Drosophila melanogaster: one gene and its partners. The protein of the gene in region 3 purifies or fractionates together with the protein of the main gene of each other region. This does not show direct contact. Each region holds a gene or a part of one and is shown on either strand. Other genes may lie near its edges.

The links.
Region 1: the proteins of sog (region 3) and Hip14 purify together in Drosophila melanogaster (affinity purification with western blotting; one study listed by BioGRID). This does not show direct contact.
Region 2: the proteins of sog (region 3) and dpp purify together in Drosophila melanogaster (affinity purification with western blotting; 4 studies listed by BioGRID). This does not show direct contact.
Region 4: the proteins of sog (region 3) and scw purify together in Drosophila melanogaster (affinity purification with western blotting; 2 studies listed by BioGRID). This does not show direct contact.

What each region holds. Positions count from the first base shown.
Region 1 is NT_037436.4:15,985,964-15,995,662, reverse strand, and holds Hip14 (Huntingtin-interacting protein 14), read right to left. Parts: upstream 7,428-9,699; 5' UTR 7,039-7,427; coding exon 6,475-7,038; intron 6,278-6,474; coding exon 5,603-6,277; intron 5,535-5,602; coding exon 5,255-5,534; intron 5,201-5,254; coding exon 4,806-5,200; coding exon of another isoform or gene 4,752-4,805; 3' UTR 3,199-4,751; downstream 1-3,198. Other genes in the region: hzg (herzog), read left to right, coding at 1-53, 124-305, 375-528, 597-932; PolD1 (DNA polymerase delta subunit 1), read left to right, coding at 7,945-8,000, 8,055-9,699. UniProt on the Drosophila melanogaster protein: Probable palmitoyltransferase which is required for photoreceptor synaptic transmission and for the correct expression and localization of palmitoylated protein Csp and synaptosomal-associated protein Snap25. Probably palmitoylates Csp.
Region 2 is NT_033779.5:2,425,236-2,433,074, reverse strand, and holds the start of dpp (decapentaplegic), read right to left. Parts: upstream 4,704-7,839; 5' UTR 4,025-4,703; intron 1-4,024. UniProt on the Drosophila melanogaster protein: Required during oogenesis for eggshell patterning and dorsal/ventral patterning of the embryo.
Region 3 is NC_004354.4:15,628,390-15,636,210, forward strand, and holds the start of sog (short gastrulation), read right to left. Parts: upstream 5,046-7,821; 5' UTR 4,420-5,045; intron 1-4,419. UniProt on the Drosophila melanogaster protein: Putative negative growth factor. Antagonist of dpp, a protein involved in patterning the dorsal region and in the development of the neuroectoderm; dpp inhibition is enhanced by tsg.
Region 4 is NT_033779.5:19,697,813-19,704,975, reverse strand, and holds scw (screw), read left to right. Parts: upstream 1-4,007; 5' UTR 4,008-4,053; coding exon 4,054-5,256; 3' UTR 5,257-5,597; downstream 5,598-7,163. Other genes in the region: Lar (Leukocyte-antigen-related-like), read right to left, coding at 2,626-2,649, 2,951-3,226, 3,308-3,454, 3,516-3,752. UniProt on the Drosophila melanogaster protein: Part of the signal that specifies dorsal cell fates in the embryo. Acts together with dpp.

The DNA of each region.
Region 1 (9,699 bases), on a different chromosome or scaffold from region 3:
GAAAGTGCATGGTGATCGATTTGGATGAGACCCTAGTGCACAGTAGTTTTAAGGTGAGTACATCTGGTTAATGCCACCCGTATTGCTCATATTCATATTTGATCTTATTTTTTATTTTGCCAGCCCATACCGAATGCTGATTTCATAGTGCCCGTGGAGATCGATGGAACCGTACATCAGGTGTACGTCCTGAAGCGACCGCACGTGGACGAGTTTCTGCAGAAGATGGGCGAACTATACGAGTGCGTTCTGTTCACAGCATCACTAGCCAAATACGCAGATCCCGTCGCCGATCTGTTAGACAAGTGAGTTGAAATAGGAATATATAATATTGAATTTAGTCATTAAAATACGACTTACATTCGTGCTTGCAGGTGGAATGTGTTTCGTGCAAGACTGTTTAGGGAATCATGCGTTTATTACAGGGGTAATTACATTAAGGATCTGAATCGTCTGGGGCGGGACCTTCAGAAGATTGTCATTGTCGACAATTCACCGGCCAGTTATATCTTTCATCCAGACAATGCAGTAAGTAGATTAAAAAACAGTGCATAATATAAAAACCCCCCTTCTAAACAATTTATTCCTCATTAAAGGTTCCTGTTAAATCCTGGTTTGACGATGTCACCGACTGCGAACTGCGCGAACTGATCCCGCTCTTTGAGAAGCTTAGCAAAGTTGATTCCGTCTACTCGGTGCTCTGCAATTCGAACCAGCCGCTGAACAATCAGACAAACCAGCAGCAGCATCCCCAGGAACTGCAGCAGGCGCCGAACCAGCTGCATCAGCAGCTCCAACAGCAGCAACAACAACAGACCATCTCTGCCACGACAGTTATTACCCAGGCAACCACATTGTCTGCTCCGACCATGTTGAACCAGCAGCAGACAAGTCCGCCCAGCCCACAAAGCGAGTTGCTGCAAAAGACGTAACATCAGTGGGAACTAATGTTTATAAATATATGATAAATTGTTTACATATTACAAGACCAAGCAAGCCGATAAGCAAGCAAACAAAGCATCCCTATCCCAAGCAGTTCACTCAGTACCCCAGGACGAATGGTAATGGGTCGACGAGATGAAATCAACTACCAATTGCTATCAACTATAATCCCCAGATCGACACCTAGGCCTAAGCATAAGTTTTATATGATATACATAATTTTTACAGAACCCAATTTACACGGCACATTTGTTATTTATTCTTGTTTTGCTCTAAACCAATTATAATAATTATTATTTTTTTGTGTTTTTTCTAAACAACTGCTTATTGCTTACTGCGTTTTGCGGTACCCCAACTAGGGGGTATATTAAATCCAAGCATAAGCCTCTATTTTTACCCAATAATCATAACTCTGTAGACGTATTTAATGGTAAACCAATTGAGCAAGCAAAAGATTTAAATGCATAAAACAAAAATGATAACTATACATATGAACAGAGAGATAAAATCAAATTCAAAATAGCTATATTTATATATATTTTTTATTAAAAAAACAAGAAAACAAAAAGAAATATGAGTAAATGTGGAGAAGAAAAAATGAAAAGAAAAGAGAAAACTAAAAACAATATATATAATACGTGTACTAAAACAAATTTATATATACATACATACATGGATATATATATATATATATTTAAGGCATGTGTCTACACATGTTTCTAGCACTTAGGCATGTATAATATTTCGTATATTTATTAAAGAATTAAGTTTAAGCGCGGTCTCCCACTCACGCTTGATCGCTGGCACTGGCAAATGTCATAGTTGGTATATCGGGTTTGTCGCATAAATGGCTTCATCGTATCACATTCTGGTTTCCTGAAATGTCTCTCAGTCGTGAGTGGGATTGGGCCGCGCTTAAAGCAGCCAAGTTGCATTGCAAGAGGGTGAAAATGGGCTATCTGTAAGCCACTTTGTAAAGCATCTAAAAGTCTGCGGCGCGTCCGTAGTTATAATATATAAAGATTCGCTTATTCTGCGCTTATCGATGGTCCAAAGTCGGCAGGTTCCATTCGACCCTATTCTGTACACACATTCAGTCCAATCTGGTATTACGATTAGCCCACTGTCCTAGCGCAAATTCTAATTGCCGGTCTTTGGAAACTCGGCCAGGCGCAGTCGTAAAACATTGTATTAGGCTTAATGAAAAATTATACATCTAAATATTTTAACCGATTTACGTTAATTTCCCCCTATTATCAAGTGCGCTTATGAAACGCATTGCAATATATATATATATATATATTTACGTCTAATTTAACCCTTCTTCGACATGAACTTCACCTTCGGCCGCGTTCTGTATTCTGTGTTGTGCATGTGAAAATGGGAAACGAATGTAAACGATGAAACACCTATAGCTTCTTTCAACTCCGACCAAATATCAATCATTATATAGTATATATATATACTGAGCTCAAGCTGGCCACGCCGAAATCCCACCTGATAAATATATTATATAGACAAAAGACGCTATTGCTATCCGAAACACATACACGATTCGCTCACAGACCAGTCCAGACAGAACTCTTTTTATCTTTTTCTCTATGTGTAATCAATGTCTTGTATTTCTCAACTAACTTTTGCAACCATTCTTTTATTTAGTGCATAAGCCATTGTGTTTCTAATTTGCTTAGACTAAAAATAATAATATTGAAAGGATACAAAAATTGGCACGTTGCAAACGCGCGCGATATTCTCATATTTTTTGCAATCAAGCAAGTAAATTATACATAATGCTAAAATAATATATGTATTGTATATCATTTACACCCGCTGCAAAAGTCTAAGGCAAATGCTAAAAATTAATTGCAACTAATCACGAAATTTAAATAGCAGTAAATCGCAAGAACTCGTTTAAATTTCCTACTTTTAAATGTTTTACTTTTTGTAAAAGCAAAACGAAAACCAATCGATAAACCATTCACTTAATTTATCATAAAAGGGAAGAAATTCTATTTTTTAAAGTGAGCCTATTAATGTAATGCATCAATGTCGACAAAAAAGAAAAAAAAAATAATAAAAACAAAAAATGAAATTTAAAATCTACAATATTATGTCATCAAACAATAAAAACACATTAAAACCCAATCTGAAACGCCTTTAATTTGTGTTAAGCCCATTAGAATCCGTTTAATGATGGACAAACTCGAGCTTTTTGAATACGGAATAAAGGTCTATTTATTATTTTAATTTGTTTTTAACGCACATTGTTACACATACACATACACCTCGTCGAGCTCACAATTTCCATCGTTCTACACACTATTTAATACATTCATTTATATATCTTTAGTTAAATATATTTGTCTTGAACTTAGTCGCTAAACTAAAGATGTAGGCAATGGGGCTGATTTGCTTTTTTTGCTTTATTAAATAGGCCAAAAACACTTAGTTCATAAGTTAATATGCGCAATGCTTCGTAGGGGCTTGCTTGATGTTAGATCTTGTTCGGTTTATATAGTCTTTTGAAAGCTTTCATCTTCTAGCAGTGTGAGCGAAAGGAATATACAAAATGGATTTGAAACATATAACTTCATAGCAAATCCTTCATCCGCACATCCGTTTGTATAATCTCAAATACAAAATACGTCGAAAAAGTGGTGTTTTTTCTGTTTTATCAATATTTCGTACAGTACATAGTTGAAAAGGTTTGCTTAGCGTTTGTTTGTATTAAAATGGTTTTGTAGACTTCGTTTGAATTAATATTTAAATGCATTTAAGTAACGTGTTACAATTACAACATATTTTATTCATTGCTATGCGGTTTGTTCTCAGGTTGCTGAAATTCCTTTTACATTATAATTAGATCATTTCATAGCTATATGGGTTTATATAAATATTCAATTTATTTATCGAATTTGTGGCTGTAGTTGCACTTTAACATTTTACTTAAATAATTTTCTGACTAGACTAGTGCATAATTAGAATTGGATCGCATTTAGAATTAATTCATTATTGATTTAAGTATGCTAGTGCTTGGGATCAATCGATTAAATTGTTGTCTTCGCTGCTTTTGCCACGTTAATTAGTGATATTTGAAAAGTCTTTGCGTGCCGTTCCCGAAGCGAAGTAGTCGATCCTAGAGAGCTGTCGGCTGTGAAGGTTGCGTAGTCCTGAATTTTCGGAACTATACACTTCTCCATAAGATAAGGCTCCAATGAGCAGCCCGCCTAGGACGAACTTCGCTCAGAACCCACACACCTCCGTGCAAATCTCTTAAAACTTTGACAGTTTACTTTTGGTGTTTCCTTTTGTTGTGTGCGCTTTACAATTTGTTAATATCTCAGTAGGTGAATTAGAATCTTGAATATTGCACGCTTAAACAAACTCTGGTTTGATTATGTTTGCATTGTTAAATTTGTTCGGTGTTCATTTGCTTACGTTTGCATTTAGGTTTTTGGTATACAAATACTTTGAAGGACAAAAAGGTTTTGTGTACTTTCGGCTTATGATCGAAGAGTAAGAAATACGCAGAAATATACAGAGTAATTACAGTAATACATTCATAATATGTACGTTAGTGAAGGGTAGCCACAATGGGCCTGGACCCCAACTCGTCCATCCGATATCGGTCAGCGATGACGCTTCTGTCTTGGTTGTATTGAATTCTTGTTTGCGAATCGCAGTTTATATATATTTTTGCAGCAGATCAGCGGGGACCAATTAAAATGGTTGCGAAAATGAAACGAATTGGATTTTTGGGAAGGAGAAAAAAGCAGTAGCGGACGTTCTAAAGCGTTTCGTGTTGGTTGTTAAACATGCGCGATGGGCATCTGAAGCGTCTTCGCATCCCGATAGGTCTTATCCTACACATACTGGTGGTCGCCAGCCATCCCATCTGGACAATCCACGCTCAGCAGCGGCTCCTTTTCGATGGTCTGATGCGTTTGCGCATCGTAGTCGTAGTAGTTCATCCAGTCCACTCGCTTGGGCTGCACCAATCCGAAGCAGCTGCACTCGAGGAAGTCCACGAGGTTCTGGATGGGACCACGTGTGAACGGGCTGTGGCCGCCCTTGGCCTGGAAGTGGCGATACCGTCCCCGGTTCATGCGCTCATTCGTTGTCATGCCCAAGCAAATCACCTGATATGTCTGGCAGATCGTCAACAGGATGACCCAGGACATGTGCAGCAGGGCGTTACCCATTACCCAGCCCACCCAGGCATCGCAGTTGCCAATGGCCCGCATGGCACCGAGAAAGTCTGTTGGCGATCGCAATTTAAGAAGGATTCTAAACGCTCAATTGTTAAACTCACCATCGAATCGCACATTGCATTGATTCACGTAGTACTTGGAGCCTCCGTACAGCATCCAGGCGCACATAATCAGCAACATCCAGAGGAATCCCATAAAGTAACTGTGGTTCTTCAGCCCGATGCAGTTGCCCACCCAGGGGCAGTGGTGATCAAACCTCGCTACACAGCGATCACACACGGAGCAGTGCTTTGAGCGGATGGGCCGGCGCACCAAGCAGCCAGAGCAGAAGGAGGCGGGCTCAAAGCCGATTCCACCCCGCTCCGACAACTCAATGATGGTCTATGAGGTTATAAATAAGAAGTATATCGCATAAGTTAGTGGCGAGTTAATAGAAAACAGACACCTACCTTAAATCGCTGCTCTCTGGTTGGTCGAATGATACCGGGATCTCCCTTCCACGACTTAAGGAAGCACACCCACAATAGCAGCGAGGAGATCAGGAAGCAAACGGTGGCCGTAAACGAAACGGCATCGTCGATGTACATTAGCCAGGTGACATAGAACCAGGCCTTGGTGGCCAGGTAAACACTCAGCGGCAGCAGGGCCATCAGGTGCTCATCGAATAGTGCTTTGCCGATCGTATGGAATATGGAATACAAGCAGCCCAACAGGAAAAACTTAATAATGTACAGCGTGTTCACGGTGAACACGATGCCAGCCAGATAGAAGGCGGTGAAGGGGCAGGCCACCATGGACCACCACCTCAGGCGTTTGTCATGCCGCAGCTTGGAGAGCAGCGAGCGCCGTTGCTGCGAAGTAAGTGCCGCCTCTTTCACGCGGTCCATTACCTTCGCTCCTATCCAAATGGCTCCCGTCTGGGATTCTAGCATGGAGAGCGGTGTCTCACCCCGCAGATTGGGTACATCCAACGAGGCCTTTGACTTGAGCACGAGTGTGGAAATGGCCGTGGCATTGCGGGCCAGGATAGCCCAATGCAGGGCCGTGTTTCCATGCGTATAATCAACCATGGCGGGGTTCGCTCCAAGGGTCAGCAGCAAGCGCACTGGATCCAGTGCGCAAACCTTAAAAGAAAGAGTTTATAAGTAGTGACACACTTATTGAATATTAACTTCTTATCTCACATTCCACTGAACTTTTTTGAATTTCAAGTACTTCCCAAAAATTGGAAAAATTCTTTTTGTGGATAAATGTACAATTCTATATGTACATATATGATATTTGTACCCCCGTAAAAATCGGGCTTTAAAACCAAGCTTACCTTCCATGCTGCCCACATCAGCGCCGTCATTCCGCCTCGATCCTGGAGATCCGGGTCCACGCCCTTGGCTATGAAATAGGCCACTAGAGCGGTGTGGGCGAACTGGGCGGCGATGTGTATGCAGGAGCAACCCTCCGCATCCCTGATTCTCGGATCTGCACCAGCGGCCATTAGCAGAACAACGGCGCCGAGATGTCCCTGTCGAGTGGCCCAGTGCAGGGGCGTGGCATTAAGTTCGCCGCCCACGGCATCCACGGTGGCGCCCTTCTCGAGGAAGTACCGGATGATGTCCCTACGATTGTTAATGGCCGCCCAATGAAGCAGGGTGACCGTTTCGCTGTCCGGCTGATTGACATCCCAGCCGGATTCAACCAGCTCCCGTACTCGGGCAATGGCACCATACTGGGTGGCCTTAACGATATCGAAGCCACTGTAATCTGGCTCCACGGGCGCGGTGGGGGGTTGTTGGGCGATCAGCGCCGACTGTCGCTCGTTGTCTGGCTGCTGACCGGTTCCCGGGACACAGGAGCCCGTAGTGGCCGCCTGGCAGGCACTCTGGTACATCGCTGGCTTCTCTCGGTCGCTGTTCCCTTGGGGTCGTCCAAACGTGATTCACACTGCGCTGAGGTGCTCGTCGTAACATCAACCGTCCATCCCCCTCCTTCCAGCGGGCGAGCGAGCGAGAGGGGTGAGCGGATAGAGAGAGAGGGAGAGAGCAGGAGAGACACCCCCACCAGGAACAGTTTCGAGGAATTCACAGGTTTGTCATTTTCACCGGAGTTTCACACGGCAGCTGCTTTCTCCACAGTGCTCTAGCACTCGTTTCTCGGCAGGATCTGCTGGTGACGACACGGCTATTGCGGCTATCAGTTTAATGCGTTTTACCTGCCAATTTCGGAGGACTAGAAGCAATTTTGGTGGTACAATGCAAGCTGATAGCACTGAATGTGTGGTGCGACTTCCAACACTATCGCGGGGAATTTCGCAACTTGTTTGGTATTTTTAAGAAGAGGTGTGGTATTTTTATAGCAAATATTAAAAAAATAAATTATTTTCATTTTTGCTTATTAATGTAGTTACTCGCTGGTTTTCAATCCCCATTCAAAACTTTAATTTTGTGTTTTCATTTTTATCTTATATTCGTATTAATATAAATGAAAATGTTGACGTAAAATTTTGGGGAGGAAATTAATTAATAATGTTTGGAATTGAAAAATTATTTCCCTTTATCTTCAGGTCATAGAAATAAGTGATCTTAATAACCTTCACTGATATTAGTAAGTTAACATTTTAAAGTCTCCTTTTTTGGTTCATAGTTTTTGAAATATTTGGAGCACTAAAAAAGTTTCACAAAGTAGTTACATCTAGCTGCGGTCACTCTAACGTGCCTACCAACAAAAGCGCGCCTTATTTTTTGGCATCGCTCTTGTCTTATGGTTTTGCAAGTAACATTTCACCAAGGTACCCAGAATGGATGGCAAGCGCAAGTTTAATGGAACCTCCAATGGACATGCCAAGAAGCCCAGGTGAGTAACCCTTTGAATGGCCTAATACGAGTCAATATAAAATTGTTCACGCAGGAATCCTGATGACGATGAGGAAATGGGCTTTGAGGCGGAGCTGGCCGCCTTCGAGAACTCCGAGGACATGGACCAGACTCTGCTAATGGGCGATGGACCCGAGAACCAAACGACCAGTGAGCGTTGGTCCCGTCCGCCGCCCCCAGAACTAGATCCCTCCAAGCACAACTTGGAGTTTCAGCAGCTGGACGTGGAAAACTATTTGGGACAGCCGTTGCCGGGAATGCCAGGTGCCCAAATAGGACCCGTGCCGGTGGTCCGAATGTTTGGTGTCACCATGGAGGGTAACTCTGTGTGCTGCCATGTGCATGGTTTCTGTCCATACTTCTACATAGAGGCGCCCAGTCAATTCGAGGAGCACCATTGCGAGAAACTACAAAAAGCCTTGGATCAAAAGGTTATTGCCGATATTCGCAACAACAAAGATAATGTCCAGGAGGCTGTGCTTATGGTGGAACTGGTGGAGAAGCTGAACATCCATGGATACAATGGAGACAAGAAGCAGAGGTACATCAAAATATCGGTTACGCTGCCCAGATTTGTGGCTGCGGCTTCACGTCTCCTCAAAAAGGAAGTGATCATGTCGGAGATTGACTTCCAGGACTGTCGCGCCTTTGAGAATAACATAGACTTTGACATTCGCTTCATGGTGGACACTGATGTGGTAGGTTGCAATTGGATAGAGCTTCCCATGGGTCACTGGCGAATAAGGAACAGTCACAGCAAGCCGTTGCCTGAATCCCGCTGCCAGATTGAAGTAGACGTGGCCTTCGACAGATTTATATCCCACGAGCCCGAAGGTGAATGGTCCAAGGTGGCTCCCTTCCGGATCCTCTCCTTTGATATTGAATGCGCTGGTCGCAAAGGAATATTTCCGGAAGCCAAAATAGATCCAGTCATCCAGATAGCCAATATGGTGATAAGGCAGGGAGAACGAGAACCTTTCATTAGGAATGTCTTTACCCTAAATGAATGCGCTCCAATCATAGGCAGCCAGGTGTTGTGCCACGACAAGGAGACCCAGATGCTGGACAAGTGGTCTGCCTTTGTCCGGGAAGTTGACCCGGATATTTTGACCGGATATAATATCAACAACTTTGACTTCCCCTATTTGCTTAACCGAGCAGCTCACTTGAAGGTCAGGAACTTTGAGTATTTGGGCAGGATTAAGAACATTCGTTCGGTGATCAAGGAACAGATGTTGCAGTCGAAGCAGATGGGTCGCAGGGAAAACCAGTACGTTAATTTTGAGGGTAGAGTTCCCTTCGATCTCCTCTTTGTCCTGCTGCGCGACTACAAACTACGCTCGTACACTCTCAACGCTGTGAGCTATCACTTTCTGCAGGAGCAAAAGGAGGATGTGCATCATAGCATTATCACAGATCTTCAGAATGGAGACGAGCAGACACGTCGACGTTTGGCCATGTACTGCCTAAAGGATGCCTACTTACCGCTTAGATTGCTGGAAAAGTTAATGGCCATTGTTAACTACATGGAGATGGCCAGGGTGACGGGTGTGCCACTGGAGTCCTTGCTCACCCGCGGACAACAGATAAAGGTTTTAAGTCAATTGCTGCGCAAGGCCAAAACCAAGGGATTCATCATGCCCTCGTACACCTCTCAGGGATCGGATGAACAGTATGAA
Region 2 (7,839 bases), on a different chromosome or scaffold from region 3:
AGACGTATGTATGTAAATTATTCAGCACACATCACACAGCCTATAAAGTTGCAATTGCTTAGAAAACGGTTTATATATCATATAATGGTGTACTAAATCCTTAATCACCCTGTTCCAGAATGAGTGTGTTTGTGCCACTGGCACTTTCTTGGCCTGATAAGAGATTTGCATCAATGAAAATGGAGCACTTTGGAGTCGGAGACAAAAATGTGAATGCACCGCAGGATGTTGACTTTACGGCCACTCTGACTAACTGGAAAATCCCCCATTACGATAAGTATTATAACTAGAAATATATATATTTATTCTCACTGACCCACTGGGAGTTGTAAAACTGAAACTTCAATGCAGCTATTAAAATATGCACTTTATGGTTTGTTTGCGTTGCAATTATTTTTGTTGCTGCTGAGGTTTCCTTGAATTTTTGTGGTTGGCAACTAAGACATGTAAATCTTGTTATTGAATGCTTGCAAAGATCTGGATTTCGAATCTAGTTTACGCTTTTCGAATCCAACCGAAAGTGGTTTCAACTGCCGTATCCAGCTAACTGTGAAGCCGTCGTCCATAACTATCTCTCTTCCACCGATGATCATGATCACCACAACGTTGTAATTAAACAAACAAACAGTGGATAAAAACAGACCCAAGGAACGTGTTCTGTCGTCAAATGGGCGTGAAGTCTTTTGAAAATGGGAAGATCTTGAAAACCGAAATCTAAAGCCTAAGTTAAGCTTGCATACTATATATATATTTGCCACAGCTAAAGTATGAATGAATTGATATACAATTTGTTATCCATTTTGTTACTTTGCAAATGTAAAACCCCGAGAAAACAACGACCCCTAATCAATCCGCTTTGCGAATTTCCTGCTGTCCTACTTATCAAAATCCAAAACATATGTTTGAAGGAACCACAAGGCTCCTGCTATTCAATAGTACTTCAAACTAAGCTTTGTAACGAAGTCCACTGATTAGTGTCCCATTGCCAGTAGACTACAAAATACAGCCAAACAGAAATACATATATGAAAATAAGTGGCTGTTTATTATCGTTTCCCCAGAAGCTCGAAAAGCGATTTCAAGTTCGTTAAAACGAATTCGCCAGTGGCAACAGCTGACTTGCTGCCTTTGAAATGGCCAGTGGAATAAGTGGGAAAATTAAATTCAAACTGAAAAAACAAACGGAAAATATGTATGTTCGACGCATAACTGTAAATGTAAATGGTGTCCCTCCATTTGAGGCTTATCGAATAAAAATAACTCATAAATAAATAATTAGCATGAAATATGCGTATGTGTGTGTGTATATATATATGTGGCCCATGTGAGAGCGCCAAGTGATTTGAACTTTGAAGGCAAGACAAGTTGGGCTGAGTTATGAATTTATCTAAAATCACAGCATGTTGTCGTGGCTATTTCCCATTTGACAAGTGGTCTGGCCCAAGTGTCAGACATGATAAATCATATGCAATAAATGTATATCTGCGAAATTGAAATTGATACCGATACCGATGGCGTTATTTGGGCGAATCGCCGGGGCGGCGAGAAAGGCCGGGGCAAAAGTGAATTGGAAAAGTAACTCAAGTTCGCATATTAGGCATACGCCGCGTTGAACGCCGAGTGAAACTACGGCGCTTGGCATCTTCTGGACCGAAAAAAAAACCAGTATGGTCGGGTTCTCGAAGAAGATGACCTTATACAATATATTTTCGAGAGAGAATTTATAAAATAAAAAGCAAAATTGATCAGTTCTCGATTTGACAGACAGAAGACAGAAGATCGTTGCCAAATCGTGTCGTTTCGTTTGGCCACCTTGAAGCTAAGTTCATTCATCTTCGTTTAGCATAGAAGTTTAGCAGGTGATTGAGCTGGGCTCGCTCGACTTTTAAATAAAAATGTAAACTAATATTATTAGATAGTTGACATAGTCAGAATATTGATACATATTGGAATTGTTAGCTAGCGTTTCTTGCTATGATTATGATATAATAACACATAATTATAATTTAAGTTTGCACCTATCAAATCACACTTCTTGTGCAATCCAATTGGTTTTCCAGTCAAGGTGTATCCCATAAACCATAAACCCATCGAGCAGCAGCCAGCGATATCGGATATCGTTCTCGGCTGCCTTGAGGCGCCACATCAGGCGGAAATCTGGCATCGGAATGGCCCAAACGGTAGACTGAGGTGCAAAGTCCGGGCCAAAAGCACCTGAAGCATTAGTTGCAGTTGCAGTTGCCACCTGCTGCAGCCTCTTGTTCGAACACCCTCCCCCCCCCCACAATCTTTCGTGGGGCAATTCAAGTACAAGCGAATACCAATGGAAATATTTTTGTGGCTGTGTGTTGTTTGCATGGAAACGTGATAGCAAAAGTTGTTGCTGACCGGGCCAAGTTGTTGTTGCCGCTGTTGCTGGCCGCATCTGCTTGTGGAATTTATTTATCGTTAAGAAATGCGTGTAAAATAAGTGAAACTATTGGGAGTCTCAAGCCTCCAGAGACTGACCAGTTTCTTTCGGCGGCCAACGGGGGGGATGCGGTTGCTAATGCCACCACTTTTGATAAAAATGTTGGCCTAAGCCAGTTGTTGCTGCCTGCTGATGACCAGTAGCCACTTAACTTGGCCGAGAGCGGGGCGAAGCGGGCATGGGCAGCAAATTATTGCCGCATTGCTCAGTTGTTGTTATCAGCAACGTGATTTGCCAGGCCAAGATGAAGATTGAGATGGAGATGGTGATGGGATGGCATGGAAGTGGAAGCCAACTTCAACTTGGCTGCTTCATTGCGTGCTCACGATTTTTATTTCATTTTCGTCGAATTTCCGAAAGTGGTAGACCTTCATGGTCTCATCGTCAGCTGTTGCTATATCTGTGTAGCTATATCTCATTATATTGCTGCTCTGTCTTGCTGATGTGTTGCTTCTATGTAGCTGATGCTGCTGCTGCTGCTGCGGTTGCTTAGTTTTGTTATCGGGCTTTATTTCTGTACCTTTGCACATTTCGAAGCTATCAATTTCCCACCTAACCAACGGGCTTGCTGCGCCCTGCGAATGCAAATGCAAATCGCAGTTAATAAACTAATTGAGCCTAGTGGGGTGAACTTTGACACTGATTTAGTGCCCCCAGTCGCATTAGCAAGGCAAATCGAATAAATCGATATAGATACCGATTAAGATTTAGATTCAGATTTCGATGCTGATTCCGATCCCATGTGGGATGGCTTATGCAATCGTGATCGATCAAACCAAACCAAAGCAAAGCTAAGCGAAGCAAGCCCTGCCCAGCCACGCCCAGCCAGTCACATATAATTATTCAATTAGCCAAATGGCGTCATAAATTAACGAGTATATGGCATATGGTCAAAGGGTTTTTTACCATGGCCAATGTCAGTGTCAGCCGCTAATTGTGACTGGTGTGGAATGCCGTTAATTCAGTTCATCACTTGGCCCCCATGAATATGCAAGTGACACCCGATCTCCACATGTCTCTGCTGATAATGTCCGGGGTCCAGAGATAGAATTTCACTTTTTCCCCGGATACTGGCGTAAATCTGTCGAAACTTTATGCAGTGATATCAAGTTGGCGGAAGGGACTTATCTATTGGCAAACTTATTAAAGCAAACTAGATTTCCTCATAGTAATATAGATTTTTTAGGTGTCTTCATAAATGTAAATGCATAAAAGTGAAATGGTTGCAAAGTTTATCATTAGAAATCTAAACAGTGCTAAAGTCTCTGAAGAAAATGAACATAATATACTGCAATTGCTATTGTTTCAGAAATAATCCACTGACTTCTGAGTTACATGTATTTATTTCTTTCACATTTATATACATAAGTAATCAGCCAGTCTATATGCATTGTATTCATATGTATATGTGTATGTGACTCACGCATTGCACCCAGTTCCAGTTTTCCCAGTCAGCTGTTTAACAGCCGTTCAATTGATTCGATTGATCTCGAATTGGACACGCAGCCACCATGGCGTATGCGCATTATTTGCTAACACTCTCGGCTTGGCTTACCTGGTGCACCTGCTGCACGCCGCTCAGTTACGCTCCAAAATCCACAAATCCTTTGGCTGCAACTGCAACAACAACCAATTCTGGCAGTTCGCGAACGTCGCATACATTATACACTGGTTCGACTCGGATATCCACTCAAATACTTTCGACCTATCTATCTCGCTGTGGCTTCGATTCGATTCGATTCGACTTCGACTTCGATTTTGGCTTATGGAAATCACTGGCACTTCACATGTTTGCTGCTGACGATGGTGGCCAAGCTCAGACTTTGGCTATTTTCGATTTGGATTTGGCACACAGACACATCACTCACTCACACTGGCACACTCGCAAGAATGGCGATGGTTACGAATATATTATCTGATACCGAATCGGTATCAAAAATCGGAGAGGCTTTGGCTGGCTGACGAGCGATCGCGGAAACGAGAACGAGAAACGACGGGAGATATTTTCTGTTTTTTCTGTGGTTCTTCAGGCGCGACTATCAGCGTTTAACTCGGATTTACTTTATTTTATGGCCGCAGAAACCGCGAACGATTACAGAGCAGAAAAAAAGTGATTAGAGGCTGTATATTCGGTTGTAACCAGCGATCTTTCGCCTCGATTTGGCGACACTCTGTGGACGAACGAACGCGTTTTTCGGTTCCGTACAACGAGCGTTGAGCGCAAAAAACTGAATGAGCGTCCAAAGCGGCCGAGGCAAGGCAAACAGGCAGGCAGGCAAAAGCGATCCGGAGACGGAGCAGCAAAAGCAAAAGCAGAAGCAGAGCCGAGCAGCAGCAACAGCAACATCAAAGCAAAGCACAGCACAGCAGCAACAGCAACACAAGCAGCAACAGCAACACAAGCTAGTTAGTTAGTTTTGAGCTCGTAGTAGTGAGAGTCAATCGCACACACACTGCCGACCACGATGGCAAGTTGCTTAAGTCGCTCAAAGCGCCATTTAAGTTGAGTAATTAAAACAGGCAGTATGTGTGTGTGTGTGTGTGTGTGCGAGTGCGATTAATTATTAATCAAGCCAAAAAAACAACAAGCAACCGCTAAGGCAACAATAACAAACAAGCCAGACTCACAATTACAATATTTCAGCTCTCTCAGTCGCCGTCTTCAGTCCACAGTCTCCGGTCCACAGTCTACAGTCAACACAGAGTCTTCGGTCCTCAGTCTTTAGTGTTCAGTCTTCTGTCTTCTGTCTCAGCTGCGATATCTTGACTTTCTTCAAGTCTCTCTTCGAGCCAAAGCCACAGAGCTGTTACACATTTGACTTTTCGGCGCTGCCGCAACTGGTTCGGTTTATTTTTGGCTCTAAATCTCGGACTAAGTCGCGGACTTCTCGAGACTGCAGCGCTGCTAATGCAAATCTAAATTGATTGCAAAATGCTTAGAGTCCCGAGCAGACAATCTTTCGAGTCGATCGGCGTTGCCGGATTGTTCGGCTTGTTCGAGTTATAGGAGCTAGATCGTTTTGAGATATGCCAAAGTGAGAGTTTAATGAAATCGAAGCACAAAAGTCAGGCTCTGCAGATAACACACACATGAGCTCCGTTTGACTCATCGATCTATTTAATATTTTTAAAAATTTTGTTTGTCCTTCAAAATGTTTTATTTGTTATTTAGGCCTTGATACTATGATTCCCCAAGCCTTACTCACCATATCAATCATACGCCTCGTGTGCCCATCTGGCAACGCTAGCTGCCCAAAATCCATGCAGCAAACTCAATTGATGCCGCTGATCTGGTTGTTGTTCTTGCCGCTGATGTAATTAAAATATTGCACTTGTTACTTTTACCAGCGGCTGTTCTGTCTCTTTCCCACAGCCTTTCTTCCCGTATATTGTGCTTGCCTCAGGAACACAAGTGCAACAAAACAAGCAGCCAAGGAGCAGAAAAAGCACAACAAGCACGCTGACAACATCGACTTCATCGTTCGCCGTGTGTCGTGTATTAAAACTTGTTCATTGGAATTTTCTAATAAATCAATAAACGCAGACAACACAGCGCAGTGCGGCGGGGGGCTCCAAGGGGGGATCCAACGGGGGCTCCACAGAGGGGACTTCGGGGGGCCAGCGGCATCTTGGCACACAGCTGGCGGCATCGGCGGACCGACGGACAGATTGCCGCACGCATCTCGCAGATTGCGCATTTTATAAATAGCTGCCTCATTTTTTTTCTATTTTTTAAGGTTATGGAAAATTTTAGTTGTTGTTATTATGATTTCTTGCTATTTTCCTTTCCAACTCGATCAGCCAATCGCGATTGTAGGCTATGGCCAAGCGGCAGCATTGACAACACTTTCACACAGTCGATGCACCCAGAGAAATATAGATATTCAAATCAATTACAATTCCATTATGTAATGAAAATGTTGTAAAGTAAGGAATAACATCCTTACAACATAACGAAAGATTATGGGAAACAAGTACGCACTTTGTAAAAATGCCTGCCTATTACCTGATTAGCTAAATTGCACTTCATTTCTCTGCGTGTAAAATAGTCGCTTAGCCGTCAGTATTTCCGTAAATAAAGCGCTTGGGAAGTGGCAATTAAGTTAACTGTGGGCTGGCCACAACAATCAGGTAAACGCCATGAAATGTACGCCAATCGATTGGCGTTTTGCACATTTATTTATCTATATTTTCTATAAGTAACGATCGCTTCCTATTCTTTTTCGAATTGCCATAACGCTGGCACTTCGATGCGGTAATAAAGGTGAAGACTTGATTTTTAGTGCGTTTATCGCGGAGGCAACAATGTTGCCACTAAATTTGCCATGTTCCAGCCCGATATGCTAATAGGTCTAATAGCTTTCGATTTGGCCCGCTTTACATGCGACGAGTCCGTTCGGCACATTCTAAATGTAAATAAAATGGAAATTCCTTAGAGTGGCACCAGCAGCAGCAGCAACAGGCGCAAAAAATGAAAAAAATCGGAGTGGAGGGGCAAAAACTTGTAGAACAGGAGGAGGCACTTGTTGAGAACTTGGCTGCCTTGTTAAACGAGCCTGCAACACCCAGCAGCAGCAGCAGCAGCAGGAGCAACAACAGCAACAATAAACAATGTTGCAATGCTTAATTATTTCAGCGGCAAGGAATTCCTTGGCGCAAACTTGAACTGCTTCTGGACTATGGATGTTGCATGTTGCTGCTGCTGCTGCAGCAACTCGATTGCGCTGCCTTACACTTGAGGTCGTCTGCTGGCTGGATTTCAGTTCTCTGCCTTTCCACTTTTCCACAGGTAGCCAGAGCGAACTGCAGTCCTCAATCTCAATCTCAGTCACGTTGGTCAACGGCACCGATGCGTCTGTGGCCAAGTCCCTTTGCCCAGGTTGCTGTTGCGGTCTGCCGCACCTATTTGTAATGCATTAATGGCCCAGAGCGCGGGGGCAAAGAAGCCAAGAGCTTGGAAAAGAGCCGATTGACATTAAGCTGCCCATTCGGCATATGGGAAGATCAGTGCTTTTGATAAATGGCAAGTAGCAGCCCGAAATTATTAATGCCAACATCAACATCGGTTAGACATAATTGTTGCGATGAGCATCGGTACTCGAGTGTTGCAAGATCGGAAAAGGTTTGTGAGGAGCTAAGAGCTTTGTGGAAACCTTTTAAAATTGATGGCATTGTTAGATGCATTTTTAAAGACTTGCTTGAAAGAGAAATCAATTTCTATAACTTCTACTCAATGGAGTACTTAAACAGGGATTGAAAGCATTTCTGACCTATAAAGTATTACTATGGTATGATTATATGATTACAAATTTCTAGTATATTTGGTACCGCGCTCTGGTGCGCGTCTGCAACAAAATCCCGGTGATCATC
Region 3 (7,821 bases):
TCATTAATTTCATATTTGATATACTCATCACAGGTCCAGGGTTCCCTAAATCTCTCGGCTGATCTCCAATTAGAAAAAAAAAAAACGAAAACCATCTAAATTGGCTGCCTGGCTATATTTAACTAGATCGTAATGGCATAATCTTCACGACTTTTAATTTAAATATACATTTAATACATTTAAATATATGGAAAAAGTTCAGGTAGCTTTGCCATTTAATTGTATAGAAATATTTATTTTTGATAGTGATGTGTTTCACGTTGGCGAACATCAAAGAAAATCGAGTAATGCCACAGGACTTTTTCTTCAAATCGACGCACTCGACTATGAAATGAATGAAAATAATGCATTCGCTGTTTCCAATAATTTTCATAAATTAATGCATAATTAAAACTTGCTTGCAACATATGAGAATGTGATTTTATTGTTACACTTGAGCAGCATTTTAATGGGCATTTCCCCCGGCCGAGTGCTTGATATTATGGCCACCAAATTACAGGGTATCTCAGCCGGCTCTACCATCAATTATAGTTCCCTTCAGCTTTATTTATGTTTGGCTTTTTTTTGTCGCTTTTCCTTTTGTCAGCCTCATTTGAGGCGTCGTCGTCTGCAATTTGAAATATTCCTATAAATGTTTTGGCCTCACGGCCCCGCCGCAAAAAAATACAAAAAAAAAAATACAAAAAGCCTGCCTCTAGATGTATGTATGTATTTATGTGTAATGTATATGAACGATATCTGTCTCTTGTCTATATAAAAAAAAACGAAAAAAAAACGAAATGTTAAATGTCTGAAACATGCGTACAAAATGCCATTGCAATAGCAACAACGATAGCAATCAACAATCGCAAAGAAAAGCAAAGAGAAAAACGACTACGAGAAATATAAATGAATCGAAAAACAAAAGCAAATTTTCAGCTAGACGATCAGAAAACAGAAAACAGAAAAATGCTTTTCCTTTGATTTATGTAGTTTTAGCTAGCTCTGCCGACGTCGACGCCAGCGTCAGCGCCAGCGTCGCCAGCATAGCAGCAACATGACACACACAGCATATCTATATCTATGTATGTCCATGCAAAGATATAGCCATATTGCCATATAGTCGCCCAGTATATCTGAACAATCTGTGCGCACTCAGCGAGGCGATGGAAAATACACTTTGTATGCCAGTGAAAATGTTCGTTGGGCATTTTCCTTTGGGTAAAAGTGTGTGTTCTCATTGTTTTCCGGCCAAGTTGTACTTTGAACGGTCCAAAAAGAAAAGCGGGAGCCAGAAGGTCACGTTGAACTAACTGGGAAGACTTTGCAACCAAATTAAAGAAAATGTGTAGATAAAAACACCAAAAAATTATTAAAAGTAACTTTTTGGTTCTCTACTTTACATTTACTGCATTACATTTAATACTACATTTAAGTAATAAGGCCAAAATTGATAATTAAATACTCCATCCTTACTTCATTATCAAAATAATATTTCCATTGACAGATTCATTTCCCCCTTTCCATTCGCGGTTCATTGGCAATTAATATTACGGCACCCACCTACCAGGCAATTGCAAGCCCATATATATATGTGTATATATATAAATATGTATCTATATACATTATATAGTAGTTTCTTATCAGTCGATTGCAGAGCGGTTATGTCAGTGCTCCGTCGAGTGTTCAAGTTTTGTTTACAGCCCCACATTGTGGCCTATATCGGGCAGACAACTTTGTTCTGTGGGGGCTGACAAACTGACAAACTAACTAACTGACTAACTGACTAACTGACAGACTGACTAGCCGACTTAGCGACTAACTGACCAGCTGGCTAACTGCCCAACTGACTAAGCGACTGACTGACTTACTGACTAACTGATAAACTGCATTTTCCACTTGCCGCCTTAACTGGCAGTTCGATACTCGATCGCTTCTCGTTCGGGCCACATTGCGCATACGCCGCGTAATCCGATAGAACAGTAGCCGGTGTGTGCGAGTGCCGCTGAGTGTGAAACTCTTTGACAATGCCCGTCAAGGTGTCAAAGCTTCAAACCGCATTCAGCCAGCGAAGACTACGTAAATCAAGATGTTAGTTCATAAATTCGATTCTCAGTGTGCTGCTCATCTATGTGTGCGTGCTGTGTGTGTGTGCTTATATGTATGTAATGTGTGTGTTCGCGTGTGTGTTTGTTTGTTTGTAAATTATTTAATAGCTTGATTGACAACCGTGAGCTAAGTCGATATCCGACCATAAGGTCTCAGCTCTTCGATGCTTCAACTGGCGATGCTTTTTCGATGCCTTGGCGAGATCTTGCGGTAGGCCCGATTCTGATTGTTTGCTGTTCCGAGATGTTTCTAATGTAACTGTCAATCATAAATTAGATGCCAATCAAAAGCAAATCACAACAGCAGCAAAAACAGCAGCCACCAGCGCAAAATTGCCTGCATTCATTTAAATGGCAAATGGCAAATGGCGAACGGCAAACGCACACAGAAAGACATCAAATGAAACAGAAGCGGCAAAGTGACGGCTTTTGACTGCATAACAGGCCAGAAAGTATGCGCACACTGAGAGAAAATTCTCTTTTCTTGATTTCGAAAAACAGTTCGGAGACGTTGAAGATCAATATTGGTGTGTTTCATTAGTTTAAACAGCCAAAACAGCTGAAAAGTAAGTTTTTTTTTCAATCTAGAAATATTTGCATTTTCCATAAATCGTACTGCCTAAAATATTTTTTCCTTTTGTAATTATTTGTTCAATGCAATTTCTTCAAGTGTACTACATAAATATGCACTTATGCGTGTGTGGTTGAGTACTATTTCACTGCAGTCACATGCAATTGATTTGATGGTCATCGAAGCCAGAAGGTCCAATCATTTGAGACATCTGTGTGAATCAGTTAGAAACAGTGGACAAATTAAAAGTGAATAGGTTGAAAGGAGACCAACTACTAAGTTCAAAGTTCTTAAAAAAATCTTAAAAGCATTAAATGAAATATAAGATTTCCGGGAAATTTGTGTGCGATTCGATTGAGTAATTTTCCGGAGGTTCCATCGTACGAAAGTTCACCATAGTTTGCGGCACTCAGAAAGCACCTAGATGATATTCCATTATTTATAAGCTGACTAACCCCCCATACAAACTGCCACCCTAGCAACAGAGATTCCGTGTAGCTCTTTCTCCCTTCGCCAGTCCACCCGTCCCACTCGCACTCGCACTATGTCTTTCTGTTTCTGTGCGAGAGCAGGCCAAAAATATCGCGTATACGTCATGTGTGCCGTGTGTGTGTCATGTGTGTGCGAATGTTTTGTTTGCCAGACAAAACAGCAGCACGTAAAGTGGCAGTAAAACCGCAGTTAGCCAACTGGCCAACATCGTTAAATTTTGGTCGTCTTCTTCTTGTTGTCGCGATCATCGAACGATCAAACAAACTCAAACGATCCGGCGATCGATTGTTTGATCAATTGATGGACGGAATGGGATTCGTGAGACAAGCTAAAGTTTGAACTAAGTGATGGAAGTTTTAGTTTAGCTTAATGATCGAAATAAAACACCATACAATCTTACTAACAGATTGTTGCTTAGCCATTTCAATGGTTGGTTATCATATCAGCGGCATGATAATGATGGATTTTCCGAGCGCAGTTAAACTCTTCATCACTGTCGCTAGATACTGCGAGTATCTGTCGACTTTCAAGCGATCGAGAGTACCTACACATACCTGGGCTGCGTCATCGAGTACGGTAATCTAGGTATTTACCCCCCGCCCCATTTCCTCTGTCACGCCCTCGATTTGAATCATGCTGCAAGTCGGCAACAATTGCCATTCGATTGGAATTGTAAATGGTTCGTTGTCGGTCGGTGTTGCTTTTTCTTTCTGTTGCCGGTTGCTATTGAAACGCTCTGGAAATTTCATCATTCGCCCGACCGCCCGATCGCCCGATCGCCCGATCGATCGATCGATCTATCTATCTATATATCTATGTATATATCTGTCTATCTATCCCAGCTATCCACCGATCTGCCCCCTTTGCCGTTCTGCAACTGGTCCGCATCGAATGTTCGATGTTCGATTGATTTTTCCCATTCTTTGTGATTACGTTTTTTCTTGTCTTGGTTTTTTTTTTTTTTTTTTTTTTAGGTCGCCCTTTTGGCGTCAGATTCGATCTAAACACAGTAATAATAAAAGAAATCATGCCCCATTCCTGGGTAATTGTCTCGTTTTTGGGGCGTGTGTCGCCTCGATCTCGACGATATTGGGTCGGAATCGGAATCGGAATGGAATTAGAATTGAAATTGGTCGATGACATTCCATTTCAATGCGATCATTAAAACCGAAAGTGACGGACTTATAATCCAGAGGGGCAAGAGCTTTCAGGTTGCAGGTACAGTGCGTTTCAGGATTGTATTGTTTGTTGAGACACTCTTATCATTACCTTCATCTGTTCTAGAGCTAGCATTTCGTTGCCAAGTCGCTGTGTGTTATTTAGTTATTGAAAGGGCAATAGAAGAATTCGGTTAAATAGTTATTGCTTCTCAAAACGGCCAGACTTAACATGCCGAAACGCAGTGTAGCAGTGCAATCACTATGAGTACTATTTAACGATTCACCCACGCCCATATGTGTGTGTCGATTAATGGCGATTTAAGCTGCAATTTCCACAACTAATAATCATGAGTGTAAAGTATAATTTCCGTTTCGGGCTTTCGGGCACTTTTCACGTTCCTCAATGGCAATTTAAGAGGTTCATTAAAAACCAATAACTACGACTGTAATTGCACCATTCCACAGACGCGCGCACATACATACGTTTCACAAGAAAAAAAAAATAGGGGCAACAATGAACAATGAAATAGAATATCGAGATATGGAAATATATGTTCTATATGTTCGTTTCGTTTATATGTATATGCGGACATATACATATGATTTATATGCAATACGTCGCCAAAAACGCGCGCGCAATTTTCGAAATGACTCCTGCGGGCTGGCAATCGTTATCGTTTGGATTGGTCATCGATTTCGGTGCGCGTTTCTCTAGCGTCGTTCGTTCGGTCGTCGCGATCTTTGACAAACTGAAGTTTTCAGCATATAATCATATAGACCTAGATCTAGACATAGCGGTTCGCTCTCTCACTCGATCTCCCTCTCTCTCTCTCTCTCTCTCTGGTGCCATCACTCTCCGCTCCCAATGTCGCCACCCACTCTCGCCGGCATCGCTCACCTTACCATCTCCCCCTTTCGCAAAATAGACATAGACAGCTCCAAGCGGACTCTCCTCTCCCTTCCTCTCCTTTCCTCTTCTTTCCTCTCCACGGCGGCGACAAATCGCTGTGTAGCCATGTGTATGTGTATGTGTAGCCACAGAAAGCCATTTCCAAGAGCATTACGTTAGGATCTAAGATATTACGACTTTCAGATACATTTGGTTCCGAGGGATATCTTTAGAACGCTTTTTTGGTAGCTTTATTAGAAACTAAAGGTGATTTATCATAATATCTCATCATATTCATTTTATTTGCAAACCCTTTTCAACTTTTCAGGATAAAAAAGTAATGAATAATGAATACTTTTGAGTTTTCTAATAATTAGGAACTTATTTTCACTTATAAGCTTTAAAAAACAGTTTAAAATAGTTTTATTACATAAGTAAAAAAAAATATATATTTTAAAGAAATCGCTTAATGCGTATATTTACAAAAGCTTCGTTCATGACCAATTACATTACTTCATTGTTTTTTTTTTCCCAGTGCAGCTTGGCATTTTAAAGGCTTTCGCTGTCTTCCCATGGAAGCCAAAAGCTTCTTGGCAGCCCAATCGTGCCCGGGATTGGCGGCTAGTGAGGCGTTTGGCCTCGCCCACTCGACTCGAGTACAGTGAAAACTAACCTAGGACAGCCCACAATGCCGTGGATGTGGCCAGGCGGAAGGAGCTGTATCCATTACGTTTCATGACGCTTGACGGCTAGAGATCAACACAAATATGCCGAATATTTTTGCGCCTTCGGTGCAGCGAACAAAACAACATTTGCTGACGTCACGACGGCGATGATCCATCAAAAAAAAAAAGTGCGGCGGGGCGAGGCAAACAACAACTAACTAACTGTTGGCCAAGTTATTTATTTTTGTTACTGCATTTTTGCCAACAAAGTGCTGTGGTGCTGGACGTCTAAAAATAGTCGTCACTAGCATAGCAAAGTTGTGTAGAACATTTTCACTGGCTCGATAATGTGTGTAACTATGAATACACACACTATCACAACGGTATCCAACCTTATGGACATGCCCAGTACCTCTACCATCTCTATACCCATAGTCGAGTGCTAACAATCTGGTTTCCCTTTCAATTCATATTCTGTCACGATCGAACGTCAAAGTCTCAGTCCCGACTTTTTGAATTTCTGTTTTTCTGAGTTTCTGAATTTCCAACTTACATATATATTTCGAAGCGATCGAGACTGCAACGTGATGGAAATTGGCGAGAAGCTCGAAAATGGCTGCGATTTCGATGGAAATTGGGCAATGCTCCGTTGGCACAAAAGTGCATTGAATAGAAATAAATATATTATAAATATTCATAATATATATAAAATGTGTCATAAGCTACTAATTGATTGTACTGAATATATTCAAAATCGCACTTCAAGCTTTCGAGACAAACTGGCATACTCTGTAAAAATATTATTATTATAATTTTGACATTGCTGATATAATTCTCCTCAGCTTGCTAAGAAATAGATGTTCAATAATTACATATGAAAATATTTTCAGGCACCATAAGATGTGCAAATATAAAAAGCAAATGACATATTTAATTGACAAAAAGGCTTCACCTTTTTTATATCAGTTTTTGCAATAAAATTTGCCCAATCCCTGCCACTTAGCTTGGCTAACAATTAGTAGATAAACCAGGTTGCTCGCACTGTTATCAAATTTGTTATTTACTAAATTAGCAACTCGGTTGGAATCTTCAGGGCCATACTAGCTAGCTGATATTGAAGCTGTTTTAGTTGTTTTGGCTTTTTGGCCAGCGGCTGACACGAGACGGGAATGACCCCATAAATATTTGCCTGGCAGCTCGCATTCGCTTAGCGCCAAATCAGCTGCAAATGCGGCGGCAATTAGTGCCTTTTGGCATGGGCGTTGGTCCAAGGGGGGCCACAATAGGAGGTGGGGGAAGAGGGGTGGGGCAATACAAAAGGGGGGCAAACAAGTTGGCAAGGTAAGCAAACAAGCCGGCGGAAAAGGAAACAAACAAAGAGCGACGGGCAAACAAACAGCACGCGATCATAAAGTCAGGGGCACGTGCGGGGCTTATCCTTATAAACAGATATACATATATATATATATATATATATTTCATTTATATATATAAATAGCGAATATAGCTACCTATAAATTGAACCCAGCACATGATGCAAATTCAATAAATAAATGCAATCCAAGCGAATGCAAATGTTTATGGCCACAGTTCGGCGGCAATGCTGTCAAAAAAAAAAAACAATATAAACACAATAAATCCGCAAAAAAGTTGAAAAAATAACAAGAACAAAAAAACACAGACGGGCTAAAAAAAAATAGAATTTTATCAGCGATCGCATAGAGGCGCGTGATCTTGCCAGAGAAAAATAGAAGAATAGAAGAAGTTGATTGTGTAGCCGCTGCTCTTTCCACTGCACGGCAAACATTTCATCAAAATGAGCTAAAAAAAAAGAAACAATAGTAGTTAATAACAAACAATGGCTAATTCTTGGCAAATTCGGATTACAGCACATCTTGAATGGTAAAACTTTTATAAAAGAAACCATAAAAGCGGCTTCGTTATCTTAACTCATAAT
Region 4 (7,163 bases), on a different chromosome or scaffold from region 3:
ATGTCAGAAATGGCAACTAAATAAGAGAATATGCAAAGGAAGTTGGCCCTGGAATTCAGCGAATGATAATGCATGTGAGATTCAGCCTCTAAAGCCAGATAAAGCGGCGAACTGCATCTATAAAACAGTAGTCGACTCTAAAAGTTACTGGGTAGAGTTAGAAAAGAAAAGTAGTTGGTTGTTTAAGGTTCCTGCGAATTCAAAAGTCCGTCTGCAATGTACTGGCTCTCAAATTGAATTGTTTGATTTGCCTCAGCAAGGAGTTTTAAGCATTGCGCCATATTGTACGGCAAGAACCGACGATAAAATTCTAGTTGCCCACCATAACATTCAGTCCGAAAGTGAAGAATTATTATCAACACCTTATATAGGAGAAGTTAGTGGAGTGCCGAAGATTATTTGGGATCCGCTGAAACTATCAATATTAAATCATACTGAGGAATTTGAACGATTGAATAATGAAATTAAATTTATGAAAGAGAACCATCAAAAATTGAAAGATTTACATTTCCATCATATTTCCGGACATGCTGGATTAATTATTGCTTTAATACTAATGATAGTATTAATAATATATTTCATACGGAAATGTGCTGTGCAACAAAGAATGCAAGCAATAACCTTTGCAGGTCCGTTGCCAGTACTATAAATATCAATAGTAAATAAACAATAAAATAATATAACAAATAAAAATATACAGTCCACTAATAGAAAATGTACTTCTACATAGAAAAAGCAAAATGTTTAAAATAAGTTAATTAAGTACAAATTGTTGAATTAAAAATAATATAAACCATAATTGTAATCCAATAAAATTAAAAGCCAGAAAAACTAGGCCCATTGAAATCTTAGTTGCAAAATAAATGAACATATATCAAATAAATACAGTCCACTACTGTTATAAATGCAACTAATATACTAATGTACATCTCAGCTTTGCTGGCCCTTTGGCAGAATGTTCACACATGAACACGAATATATTTAAAGACTTACAATTTTGGGCTCCGTTCATATCTTATGTAAATGAATCGAGAGCGATAAATTATATTTAGGATTTTGTTATCTAAGGCGACATGGGTGCATTGCTCAAAAACATGTAATTTAAGTGCACACTACATGAGTCAGTCACTTGAGATCGTTCCCCGCCTCCTAAAATAGTCCCTTAGTGGGAGACCACAGATAAGGTCCTCGCCGCTCAAGATAGGCAGATGTGCCCGAGCGTGGGACCTCGATAAGGCGGGGACTATTTACGTAGGCCTCTGCGTAGGCCATTTACTTTAAGATGCGATTCTCATGTCACCTATTTAAACCGAAGATATTTCCAAATAAAATCAGTTTCTTACAAAAACTCAACGAGTAAAGTCTTCTCATTTGGGATTTTACAATTTCAATGGAGAAGTAACAGATACTTGATTCAATGGGAAAACATACGTCCTCATATTTAGTTTAAACTACGAATTGTTAACATTTTGACAATTTAGAACGTATGTTTACGGACACAGCTGCTTTAGTTGGCACCAACCTACGTTTCATCCCATTTCAGCTAATGCAGTCCTCGCCTTGCTGGCCGAGAGAAAACCCTGTGATTACCCACTTGGCTCAGCTGCTACCTAAGCCAGTGACACGTGTTAAGCATTACGTTGACCTGCTGATGCTCGTCCTGTGGGATCCGGAGCCCAGCTTTAAGCGCCCATAAACGTGGCCATCGGAATATTATTTCGAAACGATATTGGGCAAGCGATAAGCATAATTGCGGCAATAAAAGTTTCCAACTTCTGTACGACACGCTCTTGGATCTGCTGGTAAAAATGCAACTGCAGCTGCTGCTGTTGTTCGAAGACGCTAGCTGATCGAATTGAGAAATACCCTTTGATATGGGGTTTCTTAAGAAAATTAGTTTCAGACTACTTTAGTATACAAAGCAATGTCTCAGAATAATCTGGGATTATTATGAATTGAGTAAATAAATATAATAGCTGACTGAAAGATAGCTATGTTAGACTTTAGTTTAATGATCAAGTAGGTTCACAGAACTTTGTATATACCATTCTGTATAGTTTTAGGCCAGTGATACAGGGCTCCTAGCCGGGCTGGGACACATTATGATACCCTGTGAGAGGCGCCAGAAAAAACAGAAGTGGCCGGAAAGGCATGTCAGACAAGCGTACGCTTACGCGGGAATTGCCAGGACTAAAACAGCGTTGCATGCACCCAACACACACACACACCAGCACAACCATCAGCATCCAAACGAACGCATAACAATGCAAACTTTATGGGATTTACGGGGGAGGATATCACCCATACCCCAGCTGGGGCGCCACCCCGCACACACCCCCTCCCCCCCCTTACGCGCATACGTCAGGATATCGCCAGGACGCATGGTTCTGGATCGCAGCTGCGTATGCAACGATTTTTTTAACATTGCATTTACCTTTGATTCTATCTAGCTACTTGTTATTCCGCTTTCTTTGCTCCTTTTTTTTTACTTTTTGTACTTTTTTCTTACTTTTTATACCCTTTTCACATTTTTCGGGTCGGATTTGTGCTGCTCAACAATTGTTATTGAAATTGTTTTGCCAATTTTTGGCCAACCATAAAATTTTGTTTGCCAAGGATACTTACTTGTGCCACCGAATGAGAAATCGCCTGAGAAGGCAAAAGCATGTGAGAATGACAGAGAGAGAGAGAGCGGAAGAAAGAGAGAGGGAGGGAGATGGCAAATAGACATTTTCAAGAAGGGTTAGTACGATTGCCGACATAATGGACCAAGGCAAATAAAAACGGATCTAAGCGCACTCTAAATTCAAAATGAAATTGGTTAAAAGTCCTTTTGTGCAGCATGTGAAAGATAGCGAGGCGAGAGAAGAGGGCAGCAGTTAGTAAAATGTCCTCCGAAAATAAAGCGGGGCATCCATAGCCCCACATCCGCGATACTCACTTGTCTCACCGGTGGTACATGTCGCTGGTGCCGAGGGCGGTCCGCGTCCAATATTGTTCACGGCTATCACGTAGAACTCGTACTCCGTGTAGGGACTCAGGGCACGGACCACATAGTACATGGTGATGATGCCGCTTATCTCGCTGAAGGCCTGGTTGGCGTTCTTCGGCTTGTACTGGATCACGTAATATTGCAAGTCCTCGGGACCCTTGTACGACCACTCCAGACGCACCGAAGTGGCGGTCACCTCGGAGATTTGCACATCGGTGGGTGCGGTGGGCAGAGCTGTGAAAGACACCAGGTCGTGTTATTACGATTATCAGTTTCCCATGTAAGTACATCGCACTCCAAGACCACTCCACTTACATTGCACTTTAACCACCGAAACGGAATCGATTTGGCCCAAAGTGGAGGCCGCTATGCAAGTGTAGTTGGCGCTCTCCTGGATATTGATCAGCTGCAGGACATTTCGTCCGATTGGCATCTCATTCTCGGGTGTAAGATCTTCGGAGCCTGAAAAAAAAGGATAGGAATTGAGTATTGAAAGACCATATTCTACAACCATTTGACATACCCTTCATCCACTTGACATGCGGCATGGGTGAGCCGACGGCAATGCAGGATAGATTCAGATTAGATCCCAACATCACCTCGCTGATGGTCTCTGGTGGGCGGGAAAAGGTGGGCGGAACACGACGGACTTTCACATATAAGTTGGTGGCCTTCGAGTGCTCCGTGCCCATTGAGTTCTCAGCCACACACTCGTATTTGCCCTGATCCTCCTCGCGACTGTTTTCGATTTGCAGGAAGCCTAAAAGAAATAAGAGCGATATAGTTAAGATTTATTTGAAAATTCATACAACTTAGGTCATACTTAAGAATCTATGCTTATTGGAAATATACCTGATATTTATTTCTAGAACAGCTGCCAAAATTTCAGCCTGTACCTGACCAATGGGTTGGTTAACCCTTTATATAGCTTTATTTTACAATCCATCCAAATGCAGTTGCCCACTGATGCAATTGAACTACCTGTTTTCCATATATAAGATACTATTCTATGACCAAGGAAGTCAGTATTCGTTCGAGTCTCTCTATGAGAACAACACAAAATGTTGAATGTGTTTTTTTTAACCAGCCTCTTTTATGCTGCAAGTGCCACCACATATGTGACCACCAATAATCACATCGAGATGCCCATATACCAGAAGCGTCCTTTGAGCGAGCAAATGGAGATGATTGATATCCTGGATTTGGGTGACCGTCCGAGACGACAGGCGGAGCCCAATCTCCACAATTCAGCATCGAAATTCCTTCTCGAAGTTTACAACGAGATTAGCGAGGACCAAGAGCCCAAAGAGGTCCTGCATCAGCGCCACAAACGCTCGCTGGACGATGACATCCTGATTTCCAACGAGGATCGACAGGAGATTGCCAGTTGCAACAGCATCCTTACCTTTTCGAGCCGCTTGAAACCCGAGCAACTGGACAACGAGCTTGATATGCACATTACCTTCAACACCAACGATGTGCCAGTGGATTTGAGTTTGGTTCAGGCCATGCTCAGGATATACAAGCAACCAAGTCTGGTGGACAGAAGGGCGAACTTTACCGTGTCCGTGTACCGAAAACTGGACAATCGCCAGGACTTTTCCTATCGCATCCTGGGCTCTGTGAATACTACGAGCAGCCAACGTGGCTGGCTGGAATTCAATTTGACAGATACGCTGCGGTATTGGTTACACAATAAGGGACTGCAACGTCGAAATGAGCTAAGGATATCAATTGGCGATTCCCAGCTGAGCACCTTTGCAGCTGGATTGGTGACACCACAGGCCAGCCGCACCAGTTTAGAGCCCTTTATTGTCGGCTATTTCAACGGCCCCGAGCTGCTGGTCAAAATACAGAAACTTCGTTTCAAGAGAGATCTCGAGAAGCGAAGGGCCGGTGGTGGTTCGCCACCACCTCCTCCGCCGCCGCCCGTGGATCTGTACAGACCACCGCAGTCCTGCGAGCGCCTTAACTTCACTGTGGATTTCAAGGAGCTGCACATGCACAACTGGGTGATAGCGCCCAAAAAGTTCGAGGCCTATTTCTGCGGCGGCGGTTGCAACTTCCCGCTGGGCACCAAAATGAATGCCACCAACCACGCCATCGTCCAAACCCTGATGCACCTGAAGCAGCCGCATCTGCCCAAGCCCTGCTGTGTGCCCACAGTTTTGGGTGCCATCACTATTCTGCGGTATCTCAATGAGGACATCATCGACCTGACCAAATACCAAAAGGCAGTGGCCAAGGAGTGCGGATGTCATTAGATTTAATTGCCTATTTCGTTTGTGATGTACATAGTCATGGTGTAGTTATAAGTTTAAATAAGATGAATACAACTAAAAGTACTTCTAAAACTGACATATTTGTGTTTTAAACCTAGGCCGTGTTCGCATATCAACTGTTTAAAAAGGCTTTCAAAAATATCCATCGATGCTTAAGTAAGTTACTAAAACTCTTCATTAAACTCAAGACCCAACTAGTTGCTACACTTACGAGAACCTAAGCCTATTTGAATATTGTGCTGCAAGACTTTTATGCTTATTAAGCACAACCTCTACTTGTTACGCTCTTTTATGACCTGCTTTCGTAATGGGCACAGGGGTTTAACCGTAACAGACTCGTAAGATCTTAGATTTATCAATAAATTTGAAAGTCAAATGATGTTTGCTTATCTCCCATCACTTTGATAGGCAACCCACATTATCCTTGCCCCATAAAAAGGTCCTCAATTCACCTTTATGCACGGAATCCATCCACTCGACTTTGGCATGCGGATGCCACGGCGGCCATGAGAAGCAACACATGGAAAATTAACACTTTTTATATGATTTTAAAAGCCATATAAATTTTACGACAAGTCACCGCCATCCCCCGAAGTTGTTGCAATTCCTCCAATGAGAAATTACACACCCGCACACGTCTATTAAAAATCGAGGCTCCCTTTTTCCGGCATATTACGCTAATGTGGATGACAAACATACGGCGGAAACGCCAGAGGAGTATTTTTGATGTTTGGAGTGGTGGTTGTGGTGGGGGGGGGGGGATAGGGTCATAAAATGCCTTCACATTGACATTATATTTATATGACTAATAAACAATGAAGCACGAGAGGGCGATGAGTAGACAAAATGAATTTTACGCAAACAAAATCCACTTCCCTTCGGTGTTGTTATGCTTCCCCCAAAAATCCAGTGGCTTTTAAATCAACACAGTTACGAATGCGTTTTTCCGGCAAACAATATTTTTGATAGCCATTGGCATTTTGGATCTGGCCAAAACCATTAAGTTGTGGCCCAAATGCGTATGTTATGGCGCTTTTTAATTGACCAATAACTATGATTTCACACGATGATTCAGAGGGACATAGTTGACATCACATGATTTGTTTTACTCGGTTTATAATTTATTTTGCAAATTCATTTCATACTTTTCGCAAAATCATATTAGCATTTTAAATGAACCATAAGAGATTCGTTAACAGCGTGTGAATTTCTAAGCGTTTAAACTCCAAAGCCGACTGTTACTGTGTGTGTGTGTGTGTGCGAAATTAATCATATTGAGTTCGATATTCAATTTTCTCTCGCACACAATTAACGAACAACCTCAATTCAATATGCACACGTGCACTCACACAGAGAATGTGTGTGTGTGTGTGTGTGGGTGAGCAAGTTGAAAATCTGCATGAAATATGACAATTAATTTGCGAAACAAGAGTTTTTCATATGCAATATTATCGTTTAATTATTTATTGCTGCATTTTGCGCATATTCAAGCAGTATTGATCGCGCTTAAACGGAAAGCTTAAATTAAAAAATCATATTTCTTTTAATATGATACTGAGCTTAACATTGCGATCGAGTGTAAAACGTTCATTCTTCTTCAAAAGAACAGCGTATATATCTTCCTGCTCGCAATCATATTCGAATGTTTAATGAATTTTAATTAAATAATTTACCAGTTACCCCAAGCAAGTTTTGAAAAGAAGTAATTACCATTTGTTCCATAAAGCCTATGGCATATGTTGCACATTGCAAATTTGTGCCGGTTTAATATCCCTTGGCAAAGGGTTGTGTAGTTACCATTTAAAAGGAATAATAAATAGACCGTGTCAATAAACAAATATGGGAGTACAATCGACTACAGTTGAGTGAATCATTTTAATGGCTTCAGA